Sus scrofa: one gene and its partners. The protein of the gene in region 2 purifies or fractionates together with the protein of the main gene of each other region. This does not show direct contact. Links are inferred from orthologs where the notes say so. Each region holds a gene or a part of one and is shown on either strand. Other genes may lie near its edges. The genes, in order: TMOD1, DBN1, HOMER3, TWF1 and HOMER1.

What was found.
Region 1: the proteins of DBN1 (region 2) and TMOD1 purify together in Homo sapiens (co-immunoprecipitation; 3 studies listed by BioGRID and IntAct, with this or other methods). This does not show direct contact. The link is inferred for Sus scrofa from reciprocal best matches to the Homo sapiens genes DBN1 and TMOD1.
Region 3: the proteins of DBN1 (region 2) and HOMER3 purify together in Homo sapiens (co-immunoprecipitation; 3 studies listed by BioGRID and IntAct, counting the BioPlex papers as one, with this or other methods). This does not show direct contact. The link is inferred for Sus scrofa from reciprocal best matches to the Homo sapiens genes DBN1 and HOMER3.
Region 4: the proteins of DBN1 (region 2) and TWF1 purify together in Homo sapiens (affinity purification with mass spectrometry; 3 studies listed by BioGRID and IntAct, with this or other methods). This does not show direct contact. The link is inferred for Sus scrofa from reciprocal best matches to the Homo sapiens genes DBN1 and TWF1.
Region 5: the proteins of DBN1 (region 2) and HOMER1 purify together in Homo sapiens (co-immunoprecipitation; 3 studies listed by BioGRID and IntAct, counting the BioPlex papers as one, with this or other methods). This does not show direct contact. The link is inferred for Sus scrofa from reciprocal best matches to the Homo sapiens genes DBN1 and HOMER1.

Annotation. Positions count from the first base shown.
Region 1 is NC_010443.5:239,413,143-239,416,659, reverse strand, and holds part of TMOD1 (tropomodulin-1), read right to left. Parts: intron 499-3,517; coding exon 342-498; intron 1-341. UniProt on the Homo sapiens protein: Blocks the elongation and depolymerization of the actin filaments at the pointed end. The Tmod/TM complex contributes to the formation of the short actin protofilament, which in turn defines the geometry of the membrane skeleton.
Region 2 is NC_010444.4:80,493,472-80,496,297, reverse strand, and holds the end of DBN1 (drebrin), read right to left. Parts: intron 2,629-2,826; coding exon 1,925-2,628; intron 1,623-1,924; coding exon 1,520-1,622; intron 1,369-1,519; coding exon 1,298-1,368; 3' UTR 501-1,297; downstream 1-500. Other genes in the region: PRR7 (proline-rich protein 7), read left to right, coding at 1-24. UniProt on the Homo sapiens protein: Actin cytoskeleton-organizing protein that plays a role in the formation of cell projections. Required for actin polymerization at immunological synapses (IS) and for the recruitment of the chemokine receptor CXCR4 to IS.
Region 3 is NC_010444.4:58,919,962-58,922,991, reverse strand, and holds the end of HOMER3 (homer protein homolog 3), read right to left. Parts: intron 2,926-3,030; coding exon 2,769-2,925; intron 2,422-2,768; coding exon 2,311-2,421; intron 2,203-2,310; coding exon 2,116-2,202; intron 988-2,115; coding exon 796-987; 3' UTR 518-795; downstream 1-517. UniProt on the Homo sapiens protein: Postsynaptic density scaffolding protein. Binds and cross-links cytoplasmic regions of GRM1, GRM5, ITPR1, DNM3, RYR1, RYR2, SHANK1 and SHANK3.
Region 4 is NC_010447.5:74,878,417-74,882,468, forward strand, and holds the start of TWF1 (twinfilin-1), read right to left. Parts: upstream 2,805-4,052; 5' UTR 2,699-2,804; coding exon 2,674-2,698; intron 1,023-2,673; coding exon 945-1,022; intron 1-944. UniProt on the Homo sapiens protein: Actin-binding protein involved in motile and morphological processes. Inhibits actin polymerization, likely by sequestering G-actin. By capping the barbed ends of filaments, it also regulates motility.
Region 5 is NC_010444.4:88,243,198-88,247,376, reverse strand, and holds the start of HOMER1 (homer protein homolog 1), read left to right. Parts: upstream 1-1,371; 5' UTR 1,372-3,027; coding exon 3,028-3,041; intron 3,042-4,179. UniProt on the Homo sapiens protein: Postsynaptic density scaffolding protein. Binds and cross-links cytoplasmic regions of GRM1, GRM5, ITPR1, DNM3, RYR1, RYR2, SHANK1 and SHANK3.

The DNA of each region.
Region 1 (3,517 bases), on a different chromosome or scaffold from region 2:
CTTGTCTTCGGCTGGGGCAGAGATGCAGAGAGGGACAGATGAAGGGAAATTGCAGCCGCAACTTGAGGGAAGGAGCAGAAGTCTTAGGGCAGAGACAGGGCCCCTCTTGCTCCTGATTTGGAAGGGACGGGCCTGGCTGGGACCTCAGGTTCTGATACCACTTGTGGGGGGAGGGGACTGCATTAAATCCACCTCCTGCATCGATGCCTCTGGAGTTGGGTTTATGACTCTGGGCTAGGAAGAGATGAGGGCAAGGAGGCCCGGTCACATCTGGCCCATACAGCTGGCTCTCCGTGCCGCCTGGGGAAGGACGCATTCAACAGCGCAGCAATGTTCAGTACCTCGCTTCTCCCCTGTGTAGGGGACCAGATCTTCTCGGTCCTTAAACTCCTTTGCTTGCTTTTCCAAGTGATCCAAGAGCTCCTCCCTTTTAAAGGGGCCCGTGGGCGCCTTGGTGGTCTGATCCTTCTGCCTCAGGCCTGCAGGCAGCAGTGCATTCTATAGTGGCGGTGGTGGGACAGGTGACACAGAGAGAGAGAGAGAAAGAGAGAGCAATCAGCTGCGGAAGACTCGCACTTCTCCAGAAACTCATCAGTGAACGATGGGGAGCTCTGAGCTCAGCTAATCAATCCAAGTCACTCTTTCACACGTGAGGAAACTAAGAGCCCAGGAGGTGCAGGGACTTGCCCCAGGTCGCTGGCAGACAGGGCCAGAGAGAGGCTAGGATTCAGGTGTCTTAACCAACCCTGCCTCCCAGCTTCTAATTTTTTTTTTTGTCTTTTTGTCTTTTTGCCTTTTCTAGGGCTGCTCCCACGGCATATGGAGGTTCCCAGGCTAGGGGTCGAATCGGAGCTGTAGCCACCGGCCTACGCCACAGTCACAGCAAAGTGGGATCTGAGCCACATCTGCCACCTACACCACAGCTCACGGCAACGCCGGATCCTTAACCCACTGAGCTAGGCCAGGGATCAAACCCGCAACCTCATGGTTCCTAGTTGGATTCGTTAACCACTGCACCACGACGGGAACTCCTAATGTTTTTTAAAGGTGAGGGGATGGGGGTTGTTGGGGCTGAGCCTGGCAGGGTGCTCCGAGAGCACCCGCTGAGGGAAGAATATGATTAAGTTGGTGTTTGGACGCAGGAGGGTATTTCCAGCTGCTGTGTATAAAGCGCTTTCAGGCTGCAGCCCTGGATGGCTCTACCAGCTGCTTTCTACCCTCCTGACTGTGGTGCTCACGCATGCAGGCGGGCTGTTAAATATTTTGAATGTTGCCCCTGGAGATGCGCCTCTCAGGAAAGATAGCATCAACCAATCCCTGTGTTTTCATCTTCAAACAAGGGCAGGCTTCTAGGTGTGGGCTGGCTACCAGCGGCAATTCCTAATCGGGGTGGATTTGAGTCACATGCGCTTCACTTCACTTAGTATTATGGAGAGTCAAAGAAGTTTAGGGGTGCAAGGATGCTCAGAGATCATCCTGTGCACACACGCTCCCTTAGGGAGGAGACTGAGGCCCAGAGCAAATAAAGACTCACCCAAATCTAGGACAAAACTAGGGTTCTTCTTCAGATTAGGGGGGAGAGGGCAATCTTCAATCAGATCATCGTGCCCTCCCCACCTCTTCATTCCAGGAGGTCGGGAGGATATGGGGAGGCTGATGAGAGCAGAATCTTTTTTTTTTTTAATTGTCATTTTAGGGCCACATCTGCTGCGTGTGGAAGTTAGGTCCCCAGGCTATGTGGGGGTCGGCAGCTTGTGGCAATGCCCGATCCTTAATCCACTGAGCGAGGCCAGGGATGGAACCCATGTCTTCAAGGATGCTAGTGGGGTTTGTAACCTGCTGAGTTACAATGGTAACTCCCTTACCTCACTTCTTGCTGCACCCCCAAGCAGGCTACACTGGACCGCCATTCCATCTCCATCCCCCATCCTGGTACCAGCAAAATGTGCATCTTCTGTCAGTCACTCATATGCCAAAGCCCTTCCTAAAAGCCCCCTCTGAGAGGGAAATGCAGTCAGGTGTACGAAGAGAGCTCTGTGCCTGGCACATAGACGGATAAACTGGGGGCGAGGAATTCTACCATTTAACTGCAGTATGTCTTATTTATTTATTTATTCATTTATTTATTTTTGTCTTTTTGCCATTTCTTGGGCTGCTCCTGCGGCATATGGAGGTTCCCAGGTTAGGGGTCTAATCGGAGCTGTAGCCACCGGCCTACACTAAAGCCACAGCAATGTGGGATCTGAGCCGTGTCTGTGACCTACACCACAGCTCACGGCAATGCCAGATCCCTAACCCACTGAGCAAGGCCAGGGATCGAACCCACAACCTCATGGTTCTTAGTCGGATTTGTTAACCACTGCGCCACGACGGGAACTCCTGCAGTATGCTTTTTTTAATAAGACAGTTTACCACTATTCAACACCACAGTGCTGTTCCTGTAAGAGCAATGGGTGTCAGATCCGGAGACCAGAACGTGAGCCCAACTCTGGCGGAGGTGAGATGAGCAAGGGCCCGGCACAGTGAGTGGTACATGCAGGAGCTTGGAGGGCGGGCCTGGTGTGCATGCACATGGGTTTAGGTCACAGGTCAGAAGAGCCATTTGGGAGCTGGAGCATATTATGAGACGATGGCCAGCAGCTAGAAAAAGCCTTGACTGATTTAGGGACAGGAGTTGAGAATATATGTGGTGCCCCAGACACCCTGGTTTTCCCTAAGCAGCAGTATTCAGACACTGTCCAACATGCTATGAAGGATGGCTGATGGTCCACAGATGATCCACGCTTCCATGGGCTTGTTCCAGGTGAGAGAGGATTTCCTGCGGCTATTGTGTGTGTGTTCTCAGTGTAAGTACATTTACTGTCGCTCAGCTGAGAGAGGGAACAGCCTAACTGCCCCGTAAATGTCCATCTGTGTTTACCCATGAGGAGGAATCAAATTCTGTGACATGCCAGCACCTCACAGTTGACCCCACACTGGGCTTAAGCTCTGTCTTAAAGGAATGATGTCTCCAGTGACATGAACTTGGGCAAGTCACTGCATCTCACGGTTTCTCTGTTTCTACGGCTCTAAAATGTGAATAAGGAGAGTCGCTCCCTCAGAAATGTTGAGAAAATCAGATAATGCACAAGAGTGCTTAGCACAGTGCCTGACACGGTGAGCACACAAATTATTACTGACTATTGTTGCTGTTCTATAATCAGATAAAATACAAATACATATGTTGGCCAGGGGGTATGTTATTCAAGTGTATCTTAAAATTTAAACAATGAACTCATATGAATATAAAATGAATTAAGCATGGAGAGCAAGTGTTTTCCCAATGATCCTCAGAAGGGAAGACCTGACCGATTTTTGTCACCATAAAGGATTTGGATGGCAGTGAGGGGCTGGGGCACACTCCGGCCTCTGAAAGGCTGAGTATTGTGACTGGGGAAACATACTAGGTTGTAACTGACCGGGAAAGGGTTTGCAAACTCACATCTTTTGAATAGATCTGATAGAGGCCACTGATTTA
Region 2 (2,826 bases):
TTCGGGAGGACTACAGCCGTATAGAGGGGCGCCCGGCGTCCCGGGCCCCACCCGCGGACTCCTGGCCTGATTGCGGGGCTTTTTAAATGCTTCCCTTGGACTGCAGACGTGGGGGTGGGGGGTTGGGGGGAGGGATTTCTTACCCCGTTTGTTACATTTTGAGGATAATAAAGGTGTGTGATCTGGTTTGGTACAAGCGGAGGGGCACCCACTGCCTACGCCCAAGGTTCTGGTGGCCAGACTGTGGGCCTTGGTGGGACCGAACCTAAATGCACCTCTCAGCTACAAACTGGCTTGGGGATACAGAACTAAACTTGAGGTCAACCTGCTTCAAACCAGAGGCTGGTCCCCATGGAATCCTCAGACCCCACTTTCCTTGCCCATGAGGTCTTGCTTAAAGGCACCCCCTGCAGCTTTAGATGTGGGAAAAGCTGGGAATGGGGTTAGGGCAGGCAGCCCACCCCGGATCAGCCCCTGGAGGCCCGGAGCAGCAGGCCCGAAGGGATCTGGATTTCTTTATTAACAGACATGAGCACGACCTGTTACAGAAGTTTGTGCTTTCCAAAAAACAGTTACTGAACGTGAAAAAGGAACCCAAGCAAAGAGGGAGGAGGTGAAGAGGGACCACCCATAGCCCTGACCTGAATCACGCCTAGGGCCTCCAGCTTGGGACCTGCCCAGCAGGAGGGGGCAGGAAAGGGCCAGGAAGCTGAGGGGCCCCAGCTGGGCCTGCTACTTCCTTCAGGCCAGGTGGGGAGGTCAAGAGAAGGGTGGGGAAGGGGGGTCCCAGGGAACCAGAGCCCACGAGCCGTTTATTGCCATGTTTTAAAATTCGTGCAAAATATCTGAAGCCCTGGACAGAGAATACAAAGTGATATTTTTCCAAGAAACAGAAAACTAGGAAAAGAGGTGGGGGGAACATTTTCCCACCAGAGCATCCCCCCACACAGGCCCCAAAGCAGGGTGAGGCCTCCACCCCGGCCAGCTGAGTGACCAGGGAGGACTAAGATCTACAATCTGGACCGGGCAGGAAGGGGATGGAATTTGCAACAGCGTCTCAACTACCAACGGGAGGAAAACCGGTCAACTGTACAAGTCTCCTATCAACTTTTAAAAAAAAGAAAAGCTGTAAAAGTCGGGCCCTGTGGGTAGGGAAGCGGCCAAGTCCCCGGCCAGGGCCGGAGTCCAGAGGGTGCCAGGCGGAGCTGCTGCAAGTGCAGGCACTGCGGGCCGTCTGGCCAGAGGCCAGCGCAGGTGTGAGGCCTTGGCGAGGGCAGCCTGAGGACGGGCACCACCGCTAGTCGCCACCCTCGAAGCCCTCCTCCTCTTCTGGTACTGGGTCTGCATCCCAGCAAGTGATGTCGATTTCTATGGTGTGGGAAAGGGAAACAAGTTAAGGAGGTAGCCCAGCAGATCCGTGCCCATGACCCCCTAACCCCAGGAAGCTGTGCCAGCTGTGTATGAGGGGTCGCTGCCTGTCCAAACGCAGTACCCCTGCTCCACCCATTCCCAGTTCTACCTGGAGGCTTGTTGTAGAACACAGGAGGCGGGGCCTTTGCACACAGCTCTTCCGATTGGGCAAACTCCTCCTCCTGTGATTGGCTGAAGTACCCCTCACTGGCCTGCAGGAGAAAAGCCCCATGTTACTGGGCCCCACCCAGCAGGACTAGGGCTGACCTACCAAGCCTGAACACGTTTCCCCAGCAACCCAGCAACCAGTGATTCCATCAGTGGTTGCCAGGGAAACACAGATGCCTGCCTTGGGAATAAAACAGAGTGGCCCAGGCAGGGGGAATGAACTAGAGCTGTTCCCCCCACTCCCTACAGTGTGGGTCAGAGTGGGACGGGGTTACTGCTGCAAGCCTGAGGAAGGCAGGGTTAGCCCCCTGCTCAAGCCCCTCCCACCAGGAAGCCCCAGCCCCACCTGGGTCCCCTCCTTCTGGGTGGTCTCGCCATTGGTCAGCAGGTGGGGCTCTGGCTCTGGCTCCAGCTCCGGCTCCGGCTCTGGCTCCCGATCCGGCTCTAGATCCAGCTCCTCTAGAGCTGAGGGCAGAGTTGGAGCCTGAGGGACAGCCAGCGACACCCCTTCTACTTCCTCCTCTTGGTCACAGAAGGTAGCGGGCGGCTCAGGAAGCTCATCAAAATTAAGAAGATTAGCACTGCCTTCACCTGCTGGTGGCAGTGGCTCCTGAGCCACCTCGTCCAGCAGGGGCACCTCTGCCAGAGGGACCTCAGCACCCGAGGGTGGTGTGGGGGCCCTAGGCTCAGCCTGGGGTGCAGAGGCCTCCTCCCCATTGCCAGGCCATAGGTCAATGAGGCTGGCAGCTGCAGGGGTGACAGTGTTGGCAACAGCGGTGTCAGCAGCGGCAGTGTCGGCTTCAATGGCATCAGCTACCAGGGTGTCAGCTGCAGAGGCTCCAGCCATGGCAGGCTCTAGAGGGGCAGCCAGGACAGCCTGCTCTGTAGACGCCATGAACATCAAGTCCTCCGGGGGGCTGCCTCGGCCCTGGGGAGGCTCCGGTGCCTGAGGGGGCTCCTCCACAGGGCCAGCCCAGGCCTGAGGGGCTGCTTCTCTGGCTTCCTTGCTCGTCTCTTCACTATCCAGGCCAGGGCTGGGCTCCTGGGTTTCTGACGAAGCAGAAAGGAGACATGATCAGCTCCCAGCAAAGGATGAGGGCCCTGGGCAGCCACCAGTACAGTTCCCTGCCCCCTGGCTGAGGAATCAGCCACCTCCAGGAAAGAAGGCCTCCAGTAAGACTTCCATGCAGAGTGCCTTCTAGCACCCACTGGCCCCCACTGCCCCTTTGCTAGTGTCTTTAAACCACT
Region 3 (3,030 bases), about 22 Mb from region 2:
GACTTTCCTGGTAGGACTCTCAGGGAGAGGGGGCAGAGGGAGGAGGGTGTGGCCGCCTGTGGTTCTCCAGCCCCTCAGAACATCATGTCGCCCCCACCCCTCCCCTCAAGTTCTTCATTCTGCTGGACCAGCCCCAAAGCTTTGAACTGCAGGGCTGACCATTCCAGCTAGGTGACCTTGGGTTGGTGAAGCCCCTTATATGGGCCTCATCTGGAAAATGGGAACAGCAAGTGCCCTACTCTGCAGATGCAGATGTGAGGTTTAGGCGAGATCACATGCTAGCGAACACAGCCATGTTCTAGGAGCTTCCCCACCCGCCCACCTGGTGGCATTGGGGGTTTATGGCCAGAGCGAAGGGGGGCAGGCTTAAGCAGGGTCTGCCTTAGTCCAAACTGGTCCAGAAAACATGGGCAGAGCCCTCCAAATGGCTTACCAAGCCCTATACAGACTGAGGGCGGACAGAGGGCCCAGTGACGGCGGTCAGGTACCCATGGCTCACACACCACACACACACAGCCACGCTTAGAAATGTAATGTGGGCACTGGTATGCACCCCAGGGAGTCTAGAAATTCTACACAATGAAAAGCTCAAAAACAGCCTCCGAGCTGTGAACAGCCGGGGCTGACTAGAGTACGGTGGACAGGCCTTCCCCAGGCTGAGCTGGGCCCCAGTCCCTGTCAAGGTGAATGGCCCACTGTGCCGCCTGCGGCCTGGCCCGTGCCCCAGGCGGGAATCGTTCATGTAAAACCAGCTCCCGTGGGCACCCCTGCCCCCACGTAGACCCGGAGGCAGACTCAGGGCGCGCCCTCGGCCAGGCGGGCCAGGCCCTCCCGCAGCTCACTCAGCTCAAAGAGCCTGACGTCCAGCAGCTGCGCGGCCCGGCCCACCTCGGCCCGTGCCCGCTCCCGCTCTACCCGAGCCTCCTCCAGGCTGCGCTCAGTTGCCCGCAGCTGGTGCTCCAGTTCCGCGTTTCGGGTCTCCAGGTCCTGCAGGGAGAGGGCAAGCAGGGTTGGGGGCCCCAGCAAGTTTGAAGGGTCCAGCATCTCAATGGTATCCCCACAGCCTCCACTCTGGGCCAAACCTTCTATGTCACCTGGCTTCCCTGGTCCCCCTGCCAACTTGAACATCATTGAACTGACCACTTTCCTCTTCTATTCAAAACTCTCCTGTCACCTATCACGCTGGGAATGAAATACATAGCCCTCTTTCCTCTCTTTGTTCATTCCAACTCAGCCTTGCTGGCTTCCTTGTGGTTTCTTGAACATAATGACTCCCCCACCCCACCCCAGGGCCTTTGCACATGCTGAACACTCTGCCCAGAAGAAAACAGGGAGCATCCCTCTCCCAATTTCTCTCTCTTTGGGGGCAGAAGAGATCCTCTAAGTTCTCTACCTGCTGGACTCACAGGACATGCCCCCAGGAACATTTCTCAGATAAAGTCTTCAGTGAAAGCCAGGCCAGCCGCACATGGGTACAAATGAAGGCTCCCAACCTCAGGCTGGGGATGTGTGAGGATTTGATGGGGTCAAGAATGGAGATTCAACAGAGATTCAAAAACTGCTTGTTGGGAGTTCCTGCTTCGGCTCAGTGGGTTAGGAACCCAACTAGTATCCATGAGGAGGTGGGTCTGATTCCTGGCCTTGCTTAGTGGGTTAAGGATCCAGCGTTGCTGCAAGCTGCTGCGTAGGCCATAGATGTGACTCGGATCTAGCACTGCTGTGGCTGTAGGGTAGGCTGGCAGCAGTGGCTCTGGTTTGTCCCTTAGCGTGGGAACTTCCATATGCTGCAGCTGTGACCCTAAAAAGCAAAAAACAAACAAAAAAAACAAAACAAACTCAAAACTGCTGGTTGCATGAAAGGAATGAGATGAAATATTATACTAATAACTTGCTTATAAACCACCCACTGTGACTCAATCCCTCCATGTACCTGGTCACCTGAATCCTTCACAACCTTAGATGTCTTCCTGACTGCATTCATAGATGAAGAAACTGAGGCTCAGGGAAGCACATAGCTGCCCAGAACCCACCAGGAAAGGGAGATCCCATGTCTGTCCCATACCAGGGGCTGGGGGCCCTAGGCAGTCATCCCACCCTCACAGCAACCACACACACCTGCACCTTCTGCTGTGTCTCCTCACGTTCGGTGGTGTCTGGTGCCTCTCGGGTCCCACCAGTCTGGCTCTTCAGCGTCTGGATCTCCTGGTGGAGAAGTTCCCAGGATCTGTTCTGAGGGTCCTGGCTCCCCCATAGGAGATCAGGGAAGGCAAAGTCCAAGGAAACACACATGCACACAGACAGTTCACACACCTGGTCCTTGGTTTGCACTAGTGCCTCCAGTTGCTCCAGAGACTGGCCCGGCCCCTCCTTCTCAGTGACTGTGGGTGGCTCAGTGGCAGCCTGGGCCTCCAGTTCAGCCACCTGCAAAGATAGGAGGGTCAGTTCCCTGACCCCCAGTCTGTACTCTGCTGACCCGTGGGGAATATGCCTCCTGATCAGTCAAGCCCATGACTGGGCACTCACCCCTTCTATTTGGGGCCACCACCCTGACTCTGGCAGATGAGACTTTAGGGTCCTAAAGGTAGGACAACCCTCTGAGGCTCACATTATTTCAGACCCATACTACAGAGCACAAAACTAAGGCTCAGGTCAGGGAAGAGACCTGCGGAGATCACACAGCCAGCCAGCGGACCCGAGACAGACAGGGCGCAGGGACTTCACAGTGGCCTGGACCACTTGGGGTCTCTGGGAGGGAGGGGCTCCCTCACCCGCTGCCGCAGCCTGTCGGCCTCTGCGCGCTGGGCCTCCAGCTGCTGCCTCCACTGGGCGGCGGCGGCGTTGGCCTCTCGAAGGGCGCCCGCCAACTTGTTGTTACTGTCCTGCAGCGCGAAGAACTCGGCCTCCCACTGCACCTCGCCCACCGAGCTGCGGGAACACTGGAGTCAGCAGAGGGCAGGGCGGGGCCTCACTGGGCGGAGGACCGGGTGAGGGCGGTGCTGTGCTAGGGGGCGTAGTTATGGGCGGGGTCAA
Region 4 (4,052 bases), on a different chromosome or scaffold from region 2:
AAATATTGTCATTTTCCTTCTGTAGAGATATTAGTTAGATAAACTTTTCCATTTTACTTAACTAGTCAGTTAGGAAGTAACTACATTTAATACTTTAGTTCAATAGTTCTAAGATATGCTGCTTTATAGTATATGTTTATTCTCTTTAAGTGCGTTAATATATGCAGAACAATTGCATCTTTGTCAAACTACTTTGGTATTTTTAATATATAAGAAAAAATGGAAGGTAAATTAGAATTAGTTCTAGTTTATGAAAAGGCAAGATATTTTTCCAAAGCAAAATATTTCAAGGTATTTAAGAAATTAGGTCAATGGACTATTTTAACATATTCATTTGTGATTAAGTAGTTATAATATTAATTGTTCACACTCAAATCTAGCTGAATTAAAAGATTCTCCACCCAACAAATTCCCCTGCTTACAGCTTTATTTCAAAAGGATCAAATTATAGTTCGTTACATTCTCGCAACTTTTCCCAAATAAGAAAGGGTAGAATTATTTCAGCAGCATACACTGCAATCAAGTCAAGAAAATGGGAGAGTTTGATATCTTTCTACTCCATAATGTTAATTTACATTAATAACAATTCACAAGAAACTATTTTGGAGGGATAATCACCTGTTACTGATTTCCATTCCACAGATGCAAGCACTGACATGAGACAGAGATTATGGTACAGAAACTGAGACACAAAAAGTAAAACAGGAAGATGTCACACCAAAAAACATCTTTTTGTTTCCCTGATCATCAACCACAGAATTCAGAAGGTAAGCATGGGCCTGAGGGACATGCCAAAATGTAGAGGATTCAAGTTTAACTAAAGGCAAGTTCTGAACTTGTTTCACATTTATTAACAGTCCTAATCACTGACAATGTTTTAGAAGTTTGAAAAGATAACACCCAATATTCCAAGGACAAACAATATTTAAAAATGTTTAACTAACCATTTTCAATAGATATTTTCAGAAGCCTGTATTTTCCATTTCTTGCTCTGGCAAAGATATCTTTAACATCTTCACTTGCTGGGGAAAAAGATAAAGACAAGTAAACCTATTTTTTATATTTATGTATTAATAGTTTGTAATGCTAGAATAAGGAAAAAATGAAATACAAAGAAAAATCTTGAATATGCAGTGTTACCTTATCAGTAATTTAAATTATACAACTTAAAAGGTGTAACACAGTAGATATTGTAGATATCTACCATGTTAGATATAGTAGATACAACTAGTATATTTAATTTATGTTTTAAAGGTATATTAATTTTAATCTTCTTTGGCTAGATAATTCCATCACAAAAAATAATACTGAGAGTGAATGTATTAAAGTTTCTCAAACCCAATAAGGAACAAATCACAATTCTGAAAAAAACACCTTTATTGCTTGTTTGAAAAATGCTGAAAACATGCTTTCATTCTCTTCTGGTCCAATTTCAAGCATATGATAAATACACCTCCCCTTCATCAAGTTATTTTCTACATTTTCACATTAAAAACAAAAACGTCGGGGAACAAAAAAGAAAAAGCCAATAAAATTCATTCAAGCTTATGCTTATGATTCTACTTTTCTAGGCTGTACTTCTCAAAAAGCTGGAATAATCTCATTGAGCAAATACATATTTAATAACCTAGCCCTTGTGTTCCTATTAAAGCTTCAATTTTGTTCTAATTTTTTCTTGGGTTGTGTATTGACAGCAAAAACCACTATTTAATAGTGCTTGTTACAAGGCTCAAGCATGCAAGTCAGTAACTACATATTTATATATGGAAACTAACGCAGACAAATGAAACAATGCTTTTAGATTTGAGACTAAATATTTTGCTTGGGTTTGTGTTTGAAAGGGGAGGTGTGGGGCGGTGTCAAAGACCCTTAAAAACAAAATACAATTAGACGACATCTGAGGAAAGGATTCGTTGTCTTATTAACAGAAGAGCTTATGTTTATATTAGAACTCGTTCAGTGATCCTGAATAACCCTGGGACATATGCTTTGATTCTGATGAGGTGAGGCTTTCAACTGCCCGTTTTCAAATCAGTAAATAATACTGGGCAAATGTAACAGCACATTCAATTGCCTGCACGGGATAATTAAAGGCAGCCAGACGGATTAGACTTTTCAGTTCCCTGGGGAGTACCTAAGAAGGATCAACATGCCTCACACTCAGGATACATACAACGGTGCTGATGTTCTCATTTTGGAAGAAAATGCGGAAGAGTTTGGAAATATATAAGATTCCTGCATCCTTCTCATACTCGAAATCCTGTAACAACTCCTTTGGACCGGGAAAAAGAAAATTCGCCCGCCTCCAGCCAGCAAAAGGAGTTGCAATCGCCTCCACTGTTCCAAATCTTCCCAGCGGGATAAGAAGGAGGAAAGCTGGGCTAACGCCGGCGGCGGCGGACGGCACGCCCCCTTCACCCCGGCCGCCTCCAAAACCCAACTCCTCCGCTCGGGAGAATTTCGGGTCCGCAGGCAACGTGGCGGCGGCCGGGCCCGGGCTGGGAGGGCGGCAGGCCGGGAGCGCCCGGTCCGAGAGCGCGGAGGCCCGGATCGCCCCCGAGACGGACTCCCTGTGCTCCCCGCCCGACTCTAGCTCTGCCCGTCCTGTTGCCTGCCCGGGTCGCCCGGGGCCTCCCGGGAGCCCCTTCCCGCGGGCAATGCCGGCGCAGTTACCTTGGATGCCCGTCTGGTGGGACATGGCGGCGGCCGCGGGCTCCCGGCTCCGGCGCTGAGTTGCAGCGAGCGGCCCCGGCCGGTGGCTCCAGGAAGTGGCGGCTCCTTCGCCGGCCCCGCCTCGTCATCGGTCTGCGACCCGCCATCGCCCCGCCCCTCCCTGCGAGCCCTGCGAGCCCCGCGGCGTCCTCGCGCGCCCCCGCCGCCGCCGCTACTGCCTGCTTACTGCCACCCTCGCCCACTCCGCGCAGCCGGACTGTGGGTCCACGCCCCCGGGCCTCGATTCCTGCTCTCTGCCGGGGGATCACTCTCCTCCGTATTTGTCGCTGCTTTTCCTGCTTCAGCACGGTGACACAAAATATGATGGCTTTGGCCTCTGGGGTCTGCCTTCTAGCGACCCTGCCCTCTAGCGACCCGGCCAGCGCCGCCACTCACTGGTTCAAAGGGTGCTCAAAAAAGGAAATGAATATTTTACTGAACGCATTTCCAGCTTTAAAAGGATGTGCACATATCCTTCTTTGTTTACTCCTTCTGCGGTCTATACAATTTAACTTGAAAAGTCACTCCCTGACCCATTTTTTAAAATGATAACAGGCAGTGTCCCAACAAAGTCCCCTACGCTTTTAAATTAAGCTAATCTCAGTTAACTGCTTTTTTTAGTTGGGCACGTTTAAAGACCAGGTTTTCCTTTCTCTTCATTCTAAAAAGAGTCACTGAGAGTGAGAACATTAAGTGACTTGACTTTTCTGTGGTCAATTCTATCGTTCTAAACTGGAGCACTGTTCTGCTTTAGATTGGCCATTTACTTCTTTAATCAGGTAATTATTCAAGATTCATTAGGGTAATTTCTAAGTTCCCACAGGTGATATTATGAAAAATTATTTTTTATTTTCTGTTTTTCTGAACGTGGATTTCCCTTTCTAAGTGTAATTTTAGAAGTTACTTTTCTACTACTTTTCTAGTACTCCTAGATTATCGTTTCCTAGGTAGAAAACTCAATCTTTTTTTTTAGGACTTTGACCTGACAAGTATATGAAAGTACAGTCTCATTATCAATAAATACTTTGTACAGGCTGATATATGAATGCAAGTGAACGAAATCACTTTAAATGCAGCGTGTGTTTAATTAACTAGCAGGTGGGTAACTTTTTCTTTACGATTGTCATGGCAAACAAGTTTGCTGTGCTCTGTTCCTTATTATTTAAGCTTTGTTTCTTAAATGCAGCCTCATTCTGGAGTAAGCACAATTGAATTTTATAACTTATTTGGATTTAAGAAATGTACGGAGGAGTTTTGGTCTAACCAAATTCTTCCTGACTCAACAGTTCACCCTGATTTACCAGTTTTGATAGCAGTGTTGAGCACCTGCAATTTTTTTG
Region 5 (4,179 bases), about 7.7 Mb from region 2:
ACACATATAAAAAAAGATTTTCATTGATTGCATTATGTAGACCCTAATCCTTTTAAAAACATTTATTGATTCATTTTTTTCTTTCATTTGTAATTTTCTTGACTCTAGAATTATTAAACATTCACAACATACTTGTAGACCTGTCATGAGCAAATAAGCATACACACAAAAATACCCTTTTCAAAGTATAAATATATGAAAGGTACCTTTAGGGGAACTTCTTAATTTTGGTTCTGTACACTAATTTATTAATTTAATAATTTTGAGGTGAAGTCACAATGTAAATCTGACTGCGGTGACTTTTCTCCTTGGGGATTAGAGAGTCATGAAAGTTGATTTAGAATAATTACCAGACATGTTAGTCATGGCAGTTAAGAGACTGACAAAAGTATCATTATACATGGTTTGTAAACTCAGTTTAAAGTGATTAAATCTCTCAAAGGAAAAGGTGGTTAAATCTCAAAAGGTCTAATCTCCCTTTTACCATGTGTTTGGGTTTTTTTCCCCAGGCCTTTGGTGTCCAGTTGATATATTTATCTTTACTTACTTGATTTTTGTTGTTGTTGTTTTGTTGTTTAGGATTAATCCAACTCATGAGATGAAAGAGTAGGGAAAATGAGTTCCATGTATGAAATATTTCCTGATAGAATTTTTAAGTGACTGAATAGAAGATATTTTAAATAGCTTTATTTCTCAGTTAGTTAGAATCTGTTTAGTTGAGTGAAATGTACAGCTTCTTGTTTGTGTTGCATGTTTGTAGTGACCTGCGGGGCACAGAGTAAAGTGACCTGTATTTTGCAAGATTCATGAAAAAAAACGAGATTTTTCCTAGAGATCAAAAAAACTCTGTTGAAGTTTGGAAAGTTGAGTGCCTTTTGAAACAATATAAGGTTTCAGGCTCAGGAGGTGTTTTCATTTCAAAAGCATTGCTGTGTGATAAGCAGTATTTCTATACATTTTAGCCCATCTACAAAAACCGAGGTGAAATTTTCAAACCTTACCGAGCATTGCAAGAGTAGGTAAAACCCTTGAAAGGCTAATCACTCATGGTCTTCCACATGTGAATAAAATCGTTAGTGTCTTACTTTTAGGCACAAACAAATCTGAATTTTTCACAACATACCTCTCTGTATACTATAAAATTAAGACGTCCATCATCACTCTTTTTTTTTTTTTTTTTTTTTTTTTCTTTTTAGGGCTGGCTGCACCCACAGCATATGGAAATTCCCAACGAGGAGTCGAATCTGAAGCTGCAGCTGCCAGCGTACACCACAGCCACAGCAACCCAGGGTCCGAGCCACATCTTTGACCTACACCAGAGCTCACGGCAAAGCCGGATCCTTAAACCCACTGAGCAAGGCCAGGGATCAACAGCATCCTCATGGATTCTAGTCAGGTTTGTAATCCAGAACGGGAACTCCCAGTATCACTCTTAAAAGAGATTTATTGGTGAACTTGTGCTCTTAATTGTAGCTTGATTTTCCTTTTTTCATCTGTCAAAAGTCTAATAACACATTGGTCATTTCTATGCTCCCTAATAAAATACCTGATAAAAAAGATGAAATTGACAACTATCAATGCTGCTTGTTATAGGCAACATTTTTTTAGGGGAGAGGTTGAAATTAATCACGTCTTTGTTATCTTTTGGGGGGGCTTGTCATGACCCTCCACTTGTATTTTATTTATTTCTCATTTTGTTTTTAAAAATTTTCAAAAATCTCACTTCTTTGGTAAGTACAATTGAGTAGAACTTTTATGGGGCAAAATTAAATTACTTTTTAGTGACCTTACAAAGGAAAAAACCAAACTATTCTTTCTCATGAGGTTTTTTTCCCTATGATTAATTGTTAACCCATTATGACTCTTGCATAGCTAAAAGAATTCTAAATATGTAAAACTAACATTTGACTTAGTTAAGATCTGAGTTTCATTAATACGTAACTATTTTATCTAAGGTAGGCTACTAGATGAAAGCAAAAAGTCACTGTTTTCTTTTTTATATCAGAAAATAAAATTATTTATAAAATCCAAAAAATTAGCAGTCTAATCAATACTCTGTCTTCAAAGTACAGTTTACCTTTGCATTTTCTCTAGCTTTCGAAAATTCACTTTAAACCCTTAACACTTAATATTTGCTTCAAAAAATAGTTCTGCTTTATGAACATTTTCTTTTAATGTTCTCCCATAAAACATGAAGCATTTCTATGTTATCTTTGAAAAGAGTTGGCACCAGTTCCTTAAGGCAGAGCTGTTTTAAGAATTGAGGGCTTTTTGTAAAATTACCAAGTTAAGAGTTAGGAATTAAACACAAACAGAAAACCATGCTAAAGGATCACAGATACCAAAGCAGCTTTCATTCCTTTATAAGGTCACTTTAGGTTATGTTTATTTATTATGTCGTGTCTGTTGGCACAACTGGATCCAGGAGTTCACATGCCTGAGTCCAGAGGGCTGTAGCAGAGTGTCCTTGACCCCACCCCACCCATAGAAGGGCTCGCTCCTAATTGGTCCCTGTCAGCGGGCAGTGATAGGAGTGTAGGGAGAGCCCCAACCCCGGTCTGTGTCTCTCTGGATACCATACATTGATTCCTTAAACACTGAGTTCTTAGTGGAGCACACATATACAGTGTAAATTGAAAGGATCTGGGGAATTAGATCCCATTTTGAGTGTACAGAAAAATCCTGATTCCTAGCAATTTGGTATTAGCTGGATGCTCCAATTATTTTTCTGATCATTTTTCTCAATAAATTGTTGGATCCTTTCACCTTTATCTTTAAGCATGCCTCGATCCTCCTTAAGTAGTGTTGCCTGCCTTCTGTTTCCTTTCCGAAGTTTAAGGTTGTTCTGAATAAGGCTTTTTTTTGCGAGTTGGAATTTTCTGCCCTAGTTACTTTCAGTTTCCCCCATTAGGTTCTACATAATGGTCTCTAGGAAATTATCTTAAGTGGATTAGACTATCAAAGAGCTCAAAGTATTCATGTTGGAAAATTTCTGTCAGTGTTCCTTTGTGGAAGAGAAGTCTGTACATGACTGAATTTAGGTAGGACAATTATTTTGAACCAACTGTAATACTTGAGTGGGCTTAACCTATCCTTTTGCCTTTTTGTGCTTACTTTTTGCTTACTCTTTTGTAAAACTGTCGTTTTCTGCCCTACTCTGTAGTTATGAATCTCTATCATCTGGATTTTAGCGTTAAAATTCATGTGCTTTGCTTAATCACCCTGCCAGCTCCCAAGATGTTTACAGAATGAGGATTCCACCTACTCTTGTTTACTCAGTGTTACCAGGGATCTGTATACATTCGGCTGAATGGGAAGACTCCCAACTCACCCGGAAACTCATCTTTCAGGTTCTTTTGTGCTAAAATAAATAAATAAATAAATAGTTTTAGGTCTTGCAGGCTGCCTTTTTGCCTAGTCAACTGATAATATATAGAATTTTAGTTCCCTGTTTTCAGTGTTGCTTTCATTTAGTGTTTTATTGATGCTAAGTTGATATTTATTGCTATCCCTAAGTTAATGTAGGTGAAATAAGACATTAATGGCAATATTGCTGTTTAGTTTTACTTAGTAGCGTATTAGTATATTCAGAGTAGTTAGTATATGCTCTCTGGGTAAACTATAGGCTGTTCATCTGGTAGGAAGCTAGCCTGAAAAATGTTTTCAAAGATGGTGCAGTGGTCAGTTAGAAATGATTATGCAAAATTTTGTATTCTCACCTATATAAAGTGCATTCTATGTATGTGTACAAAGATTTGAAAGACATTCCTTAAAGTGTTACCTTGTTTATTTCTGGGAGGTATGATTGTGAAATTTTGTTTTTTGAGTATTTCTAAATCTGTAAGTTTCTCTGTGATTCATGTATTCACTTCTTTCTTGGGTTTTAAGGGTGAGGATATTAAAAGTGCTAATATCTACGATACAAAGTTATCAGGATCAGTCACTGTTCCTACGTATGGATAGATGCTTTTATGTTTGTATCAGTTTTAGCTTCTTTATCTAATACTTTTTTTTCTGTTTCAAAATTGGCTAAGGAAGTAATTACTCCAATGATAGCAAAAATGGTTTCTTCTATAAAGAGTAGTCTGGCTGTCAGTTACCAGAATGTTGGTAATGCACTTTTTATGGGTAAGGAGCCAGAGCCAATGAGGAAATGTTACTTAGAGGAGGTTATGCAGG